2 linked regions of the Rattus norvegicus genome follow. The protein of the gene in region 1 binds, or shares a complex with, the protein of each later gene. Links are inferred from orthologs where the notes say so. Each region holds a gene or a part of one and is shown on either strand. Other genes may lie near its edges. The genes, in order: Clspn and Chek1.

Region 1 (3,810 bases):
CTGCCCTGCTGTGACACGCAGTAGCCACTGGAACTCAAAGCAAACCTCCTCCGCCTTTAGGGTCTTTCTCAGTGTCGTCTCAGAGCCACAAGGTCAGTAACTAACACTGGGCCTCAACTCAGGCAACACGATCTAAAGTTTAGCCTCATGCTAACCTAGACAGGGAGGATGGGCAAGGTTTGTTAAAGGTGAGGCATAAAGGCTCACTTCTAGGGTATAAAGGTGGCTTCTAATGATACATCAGTGATGGGTGCTATATTCCAGGACACCTTCATTGCTGATACGGGGACCGGGTGCTATATTCCAATCTTACCCAACAACCAGAACACAAGGAGAACGAACAGAGAAAGCCTTTACAATACAAGGTCTGTGTATTTGAAATAAGATCAGAGAATAGGAATGTCAGCAAGGAGTATTTACATTTTATTTTCTGGAGACTTTGTTCAAACTCGTGGAATATAAGACTAATGGTCAGGACACCTCTTTCTCAGAAGAGAAAGCGCAGATGGAGTGGCAGAAGCTCATTTTATTTTTAAACAAAATTAAGCAGCACCCAGCCTTATTCCCACCCACAGAAACACAAAACTACCTACCCATCTGCATCCAACAGTTGGCTCTGAGTGTCATCTTCCAAACAGAACTGGAAGTCTCCTGCTCCTAGGAAAAGTGTCTTCGGCTCTGGGGAGGCGGTGTACAGATCCTGGGAATCCTCTATGGGAAGTGAAGGCTCAGACAGTTTCCCTGAACTCTGGCACCAAAAACAAAAACAAAAGCAAAACATTTCACAAATGCCATCCAGTGTCATGACAACAACAGAAGTTGCTACTTGCAATATGTCATCTGCTCTCAGGCAATCGCAGTTGAGGCGGACAATGCAGTCAACAGAGCCTAAGGAAAACTACCTGTAGGCACGACCGCCTGCTAATTAATACACGAAGCGGGTGCATTTTTAAAGCTGAGCAGCACGCGGTGGGGCTCGGCTGGCTGGGACACACTCTATTCAGCAGTGTGGGCAGTGAGCAGAGGAGGTGAGAACAGTTCTCCCCGCTTTACCTTAGAAGCCGAGCTGATCAGACTGCCCCGGAACAGTCCAGGGGATGGCGACCTGAATCCTGCTGTAGGGAGAAAACTCGTCCCACGGCCTGTGTGTCTGTTGCAGGGCTGATAGGATGGAATTGTGGAGCCAATGAGCTCAAAGCTGCTGTTGTGGCTGCTCTCTTTTGTTAGCAGTGAACTTGAGTCGTCTTCATCTAAGAGGATGAGAGAATACACTCGGAATACAGAAATACAGAGGTGCATTTGTGTAGGAAGAGTTGGGAAGCGAACAGGTAAATTCACTGGCAAACCACTTAAGTTCTGGGCTCCAAGTCATTCTGTGAAAGGTCAATTAATTCACAACAGCAGCAGTGTATACTTAGGGCTCGTTACTCTGAGCTAAGTGACACATGGGAGTTCTCTTCTGTCTAAGTGCATACCTTTCTTTGATCTTTGCATAGAAATATTTCATGTTTCACTCAATCAACAAAACGTATGTCCATGGTCAACTATAAAAATTTAGCCCAAGGGCTGGAGAACTGGCTCAGCAGTTAAGGGCCCTTGCTGCTCTCGCAGAGGACCCACATGATACCTCACAACCTTGTGTAAGTCCAGGTCCGTGGGACCCGGAGCCCTTTCCAACCTCGTGAGCAGCAGGCACAGCCATTCACGCAGGTGCAACACGCATGCTCATAGAGTAAAAAGAAGTCAATGTTAAAAAAGAAATAAAAGCAGCTCAAAAATGGGTCACAAAAAATATTTCAAGTCATAAATAATGTCACTGCTACATGTAAGAATATGCTGCCACTAGAATAAAAAAGGAAGGAAGAAACATTTGTGAGACTATGGTCTTACATATCAGAACTAAAGAAATGTTCTACGTGAGGGTCACTACTTACCCAGTTTGTCAGACTGCTTGCCCATGTGTTCATCTGTTTCTGATTTTTCTTCAGTAGGAAAGTAACTACAAAATAAAACAGTAAACTGCTTGAGTATCTGTTCTTACTTCCTACTCCCTTGTAAGAAATTCAAGAATGGGCTGGAGAAATGGCCTCATAGTTAAGAGTACACTGCTCTCCCAGAGTCCCAAGACTGGTTCCCAGCTGCAGGGGATCCAGCGCCCTCTTCTGGCCTCCTCAGGCATCTGCACTCGTGTGCACATACCTGCACCTTTAAGAAGGACATGTCTTCAGAAATCCCAGAGAATTTTGTTTTCCTCAGAAGAACTTACCCCATCTTGGAAGAGGTGTCCTTAAACAGAAGTAAGGTGGAGTCCGAGGACAGGGGCTTGGGGACAGAGAGGGCAACAGGTTTGCCGACGTCACTACTGGCGTCTGTGTTTTCTTTATCTGTTTCTTTTTCAGCTTTGGTTTCTGTATCTTCACTGCCAAGAAGATATTCTGAAGTCTATGCCAATCATGTAAAAAAAATAATACAAGTCAAAAAATGTTAAAAGTAAATCCACCCTTAGCTGAAATGTGGATTCCTGGTTATAGGTTACATCTCAAGCATGGAGAGGTGAACTTGAAACAAACTAAGTCCACGCACAATCAGGAAGCCATCCCCTGACTGTTTCTCACGCAGCATCTCACTATGTGGGCCTGGGTCCCTGACCAGTCTGAACTCCCTCTGTAGATCAGGCCAGCCTTGAGTTCACAGAGACCCACCTGCCTCTGCTTCCTGGATGCTGGGATTAACTGTGTGTGCCACCACACCTGACTAGCTTTAGGGCTTTTCACATTCCATGAAGGAGGATTAGATGGGCATGCTACTAAGGCAGTAAGAGAGTAGTCAGTCTAGAGGAAGGATGACTGCTCATCACAGCAAGCACAGACTATAATGTGCTGCCCAGCTCAGACACCCCCTTCCCTTTCTTTACACGGGGTAAACCGAAAAGAAAGCTCATTTCATACTGAACAGCCATATAATGAATACCCACCTTCCCTGGGCTGCAAAACTACTGTGGGACAGGGACAGGGGGTTCTTCCATAAATGCCCTCCTTTACTAAGAATGGGATTGATTTAAAAAGACCTCTTGCCTGAGAACTATTCCAGACCTCAGCCTAAATAAGAACAATTGCTTTTCAATCTCAATCAATGACAAACAGAAAAGTCCTTATTAGTAAAGTTATTTTCAATATAACACTATATTAAAACACACAAACTATCAGGTAGAAACAGGACACACACAGCTGTGAACTGCAGGCACTCAATAATGCCAACCGAACTGTATGTGCGGAGCTTAGAGTACATACACAGATAGCTATTTTCATCCATCCACGAGGCACACACGGCACACACGGCACACACACACACACACACACACACACACACACAGGCAAAACATGCATATACAAAACATGCATATACATGTATACATGTATGCATACACACATATACACATATGGGAGCTGGAGCGATGATGCAGCACTGAAAAGCACTTTCTGCTCTTCCAGAGAACTCTGTTTCAGTCCCCAGCACCCAGCTAACAACTAACTACCCACGACTGAAGTTCCAGAGGACCCAGTACCCTCTCTGGCCTCCGCAGGCACTGAAGTAAACCACTCGTACACACAAATAATAAGTAAATCTTAACTCTTTTCTCTTATTCATCATAGCCAAGAGAGAAAAGTATATAACTGTCCCAAACCTCCTGCATGTCTCCAACCTCCTCCTCCTCCTCCTCCTCCTCCTCCTCCTCTTCTTCCTCTTCTCCATCTTCCTCAGACTCATCTGTCATTTCTTCCTCTTCCTCCTCCTCTTCAAATCCATCTT
Region 2 (4,588 bases), on another chromosome or scaffold:
CTTTGAACTTTATATAACCGTGTGAACCTGAACTGATCTCCCTACATTTGGTCTCTAGTTGGTACAGGGACACAGATGGACGGACGGACGGACACACACACACCCCCTACACCCTCACCCTCTCTCTAAGTCAGGACTTTGATACTGTGTTTTTTCCAGGAGAGGAACCTCATGGGTCTTTGTATTTGTTGATTTCAGAACACAGACAGGAAATTACAAAGAACTGGCAATAATCTAACAGCTTGTTTTCATCACATGAGTCCTAAACTGAAGTCATGGTTTAAGTTTATAAACATTTCCAGGTTGTTTCACTTGACAGATTGCATGGAGTGTGAGGTGCAGCTCAGTGACAGTGCACTTGTCTAGCCCCACATGATTTCAGTTTTTCCTTATTTTGTGTATGTAAGCCCTTTCCCTTAGAATTGACATTTTACACTTTATTATGGGCCTTTTGCATGCCTGGCAAGCATCTACCATAAGTCTAGCCTAGTAACTAATATTGTGTTTCCTAACTCATCACTTTTGTTTAGAAAGGATCATATACGTGTGTATATATATATGTGTGTGTATATATATATATGATAACATGTATAATATATATACATTCATATTCTACCCCCACATTGGTTCAGACTGATCAGCTTCTTGAAGCAGTTCCCATGCCTCAGCCTCCCTAGGCCGAGGTTATAAATGAGTCACCATTAAGTCTACTTTGCTGTTTGTGTCTGAAAGAGAGCATCTTGGTTGAGTATCTCCTGCCTCATTTCTTAGAGTGATGGGCCACCATAGTCGTTTAAGAAAGCTAGTACAGGCAAATAGTCTTCCTAAAAATAACGTTAGATTTAGCCGGTTTGGAGCCTGTGCAGGCAAAATTGGTGACCCTCACTGGACTATGAGGCGATGTGGATTTTTTTTTTTTTTTTTGCCTTCGTTTTTTTGTTTGAGAAGACTAACTCTGCATAGCTCGGTTGCCTCAGACTCAGTTTTCTTGCTTATGCTTTCCAAATTCTAGGTTAACAAGCAATTTCTAGGTTTACAAGCATGCACCACTCTTGCTCCCTTCATTTTTTTTTTTTTTTTAGAATTAATTCCAATAGCAGTTGCTAGCTTCTCAGTTCGAATACTGAGGCCACAATTGTGTGTTTACAGAGCACTTTGTGGCGCTTGGTTTGAGCCTCATAAACCCTTCCTACCAGGGCCTCCTAGGTCACGAGCAGATCGGTTTACGTAGTTAACCGTGCAGCCTTTGCAGGCTCTGACCGGCAAGGAACCCGGGTTCTTGCCCTGGGCCCAACCGATGCGCCGTTTGGATGGATTCTTTCTGTACCAATGTAAGGCGTCCAGCATAGTGCACGCCCGATGCCATTTCACTCTGGGACTCAGATCACTTCTCACCAAAGCAGTCGTCAATACCAAATCTCATTAGCCTGTGTCTTACCGCGGCCGCATCAGAACTCCAACCAAGCACGCCCAGTACTTGAAGGAGGGGCCCTTGCTCGGTCAGTCTACCGAAATTGCTCCTCGGTAGAGCTCGGGATAGGACAACGCGCGCCGGCCCACTTTACGGCAAAGGTGTGCGCTTTTGCGACAGCATGACGCAAGCAGGTTTTGGCGGGAAAAGCTGTGCACTTGGATTCCTGTGGCAGCTGGCAAAGGACTGCTTGGTGAGAAGGGCGTCCTGAACGGTGGGAAAGAACTCCAGCAAAGTACCCAGAGGGCTTGATTAGTGCGGGCTGGCATGGTGAGGGAGTGGCCCAGATGAGCGGAGAGGTGGGAGGGCCGCCCGGAGTGCGGGCTGGAACCGGTGGTCTGCGGCTCTCCAGCGTACAGGGACCAGAGCTTTTTGTAAGCCTCCGGGGTTCGCATGCTTTTCCGGCTTTAGGGGGTCCCTGCCTTCCGCTTCTCTCCGCGGCTTGGCCCCGCCCCGTGCCCTCCCGGTGCTGGGGACACGTGCGGTTGGGGTGGGAATTGGAAGTGAGCGGGTGGGAGGAGGGGCTGCTCTGGAAGTAATTCCCTTAGTTACACCCAGCTGTCCCCCACCCCGGCACCCTGCCCTGCCCTGCCCTGTCCTGCCCCCAACTCCCTTTCCGGGTCATTCATCTGAAAGCTTTTGTTTTGTTTTGTTTAGCAGTTACTTCCAGCTAAGCAAGTGTTCAGTTTTGCATAAAGGCGGAGGTCTATCGTAGAAACAGGATTTGTGATATACAGGGCAAAATGTTTAAATTTAGCTTTATGATTTGGGTAAATATGGATGAGATGTAAAGGGAAAACAAAGTCGTGCGGAATCATGGCAGGAGACATGGCTCAACGGCATTACAGGTGATGAGAATTTACACTCATCGCCCGTATTTTCTGGAATCCTGCATTTTACAGTTGCTGTGCTTGGAGTCATGGCAGTGCCTTTTGTGGAAGACTGGGATTTGGTGCAAACTTTGGGAGAAGGCGCCTATGGAGAGTAAGTTTGAGCCCTCATTTAAATTTTTTAGTGTGTGTGGGTGTCTGTGTGCACGTGTGCGCGCGCGTGCGCGCCTGACTTTTGTTGAAGACTGGGATCTGGTGCAAACTTTGGGAGAAGGTTCCTATGCAGAGTAAGTTTGAGCCCTCATTTTAGTGTGTGTGTGTGTGTGTGTGTGTGTGTGTGTGTGTGTTCGTTCTGCCATGGATGTACCTGTGGAGGTCAGAAGACACTTGCTGGTTCTGTTGAGGGTTCAGAGGACTGAACTCTGATCATCAGGCCTGACAGCAAGCGGCTTAACCTGCCTAGCCATCTCCACAATCCCTATTAAAATATTACCTCTTTGCTTGTTTTAGTTTTCTATCTCTTGTCTGAATACACACTTAAAAAAATCCTTTATTCCAAGTGGCAAAGAGCATGGATATTTGCATTTGTAAATCAAGGCTCTGAGTGAAGTTACTTCTCCACACTTGTCCCTCCTCTTTTGTCATAGTGGACATTGAACATCACCACACATCACCACACATGCTGGGCCTATGCTCTGCGACGAGCTACATTTTTAGGCCTATCAAACGAACAACAAATTTCTTTTTGCGTTTGATTTTGTTCAGATCAAAATCTTGTTAAATTGCCCAGCTTTGGCCTTATACTTGTGGCACACTGTAGCCTCCCAGGTAGGTATTACAATCCCATGTTAGTCGATCCAGTTTTTTTTTTTTTTTTTAAATTTTTCTTTTATAAGAAAATCATTTCCCTAACAAACCACGTGTCTTAAAATTTTAAATGAGATAATGAAAAGACCCTGGCGGCATCCAGCCTGACTGGAGACCCTCACACTCAGCGGATCCTAGTTGTGTTTTGTGTTCCTGAGCGAGCTTTATGTGTCTTTGTTTCTTCATCTGATGATAGAATTAGTGGCTCTTACCTCAGAGGTGCTCAGGCATATATGCATGAGATTCATAAAGGGAAAGGAATGCTGCCGTGGGGCCAGATCATGTGTACATGTGATGTAATCCAGCCTTGTTACTGTTTTTCAAAGCCTCATCAGTACACACACCAGGTTTCCATGTTTCCAAGACTTGGAGCCTTCACTGAAGCACTCATCTCTGGTCTCATTGCTCGGGAGACCATGGCAGAGGCCATTTCATTTTCCTTGATGAAGAAAGGAAGAATAGTTCGGGATGTGTTACATTTAATTTCTTGAAGTTTTTTTTTCGTCCTAAGATTTATGTGTTTTCTTAATATGTGTGTTTGCTTGCCTGCATGTTAGTGTACTACATGTGTTCAGGGCTGACAGAGGGCCAGAAGGTGTGGGATTCCCCCAGAACTGGGAATTACAGATGGGTTATATGAGCTACCACGTGGGTGCTGGAAACTGTACTGAGGTCTGAAGCAAGTGCACTGAAATGCTGAGCCATCGTTCTAGGTGACCCCTCAATGCACCCCCCTCCCCCCCTCCCCAGTTTTGTTTGTAGAGAGTCTCATTGGCCTCAAACTCACTCCAAGCGCTCTGCTTGCCTCTGTTTCTCTTAGGTTTTTGGTTGTGAGCCTAGCCATTAACGGCTGAGCCATCTCTCCAGCCCTTGCCTCTGCTTCTCATGTGCTGGGATCCAAGACTTGTACACATCATCACTCCCTGCTTTGAAAGTTTCTTTGTAGTCCAGGCTGGGCTGGCTTGAACTTAGACCCCTTTGTCTCTCTCTAGAAGGTTGGAATTACAGGTGTGCGTCACTAATCTTTTGAAGATGTAGGAGAAATGGAATTCTGAGGTGAAAATGTTGTAACTCACTCTCTCTCTCTCTCTCTCTCTCTCTCTCTTTTTAAGAGTTCAACTTGCTGTGAATAGAATAACTGAAGAAGCTGTTGCAGTGAAAATTGTAGACATGAAGCGGGCCATAGACTGCCCAGAAAATATTAAGAAAGAGATCTGCATCAATAAGATGTTAAATCATGAGAATGTAGTGAAATTCTATGGCCACAGGAGGGAAGGCAACATCCAGTACCTGTTTCTGGAGTACTGTAGTGGAGGAGAACTCTTTGATAGAATAGGTATGGAGAAGATTTAAGATAACTATTTTACTGATCAAGTCTATATGTTGTGTGTTTCTGGAGATTAAACCCACCATCTCTCCA

The links.
Region 2: the proteins of Clspn (region 1) and Chek1 are in contact, whole or in part, in a crystal structure (PDB 7AKO), measured with the Homo sapiens proteins. The link is inferred for Rattus norvegicus from reciprocal best matches to the Homo sapiens genes CLSPN and CHEK1. Residues at the interface, in NP_071394.2 of Homo sapiens: Glu938, Leu940, Leu941, Leu943, Cys944, Ser945, Gly946; in NP_001107593.1 of Homo sapiens: Lys53, Lys54, Cys57, Met61, Arg129, Thr153, Val154, Phe155, Arg156, Tyr157, Asn158, Arg160, Glu161, Arg162.

Annotation. Positions count from the first base shown.
Region 1 is NC_086023.1:144,151,481-144,155,290, reverse strand, and holds part of Clspn (claspin), read right to left. Parts: coding exon 3,686-3,810; intron 2,443-3,685; coding exon 2,267-2,442; intron 2,000-2,266; coding exon 1,935-1,999; intron 1,251-1,934; coding exon 1,054-1,250; intron 749-1,053; coding exon 594-748; intron 1-593.
Region 2 is NC_086026.1:44,626,895-44,631,482, reverse strand, and holds the start of Chek1 (serine/threonine-protein kinase Chk1), read left to right. Parts: upstream 1-1,639; 5' UTR 1,640-1,664; exon of another isoform or gene 1,665-1,845; intron 1,846-1,862; exon of another isoform or gene 1,863-2,373; 5' UTR 2,374-2,390; coding exon 2,391-2,455; intron 2,456-4,280; coding exon 4,281-4,504; intron 4,505-4,588. UniProt on the Homo sapiens protein: Serine/threonine-protein kinase which is required for checkpoint-mediated cell cycle arrest and activation of DNA repair in response to the presence of DNA damage or unreplicated DNA.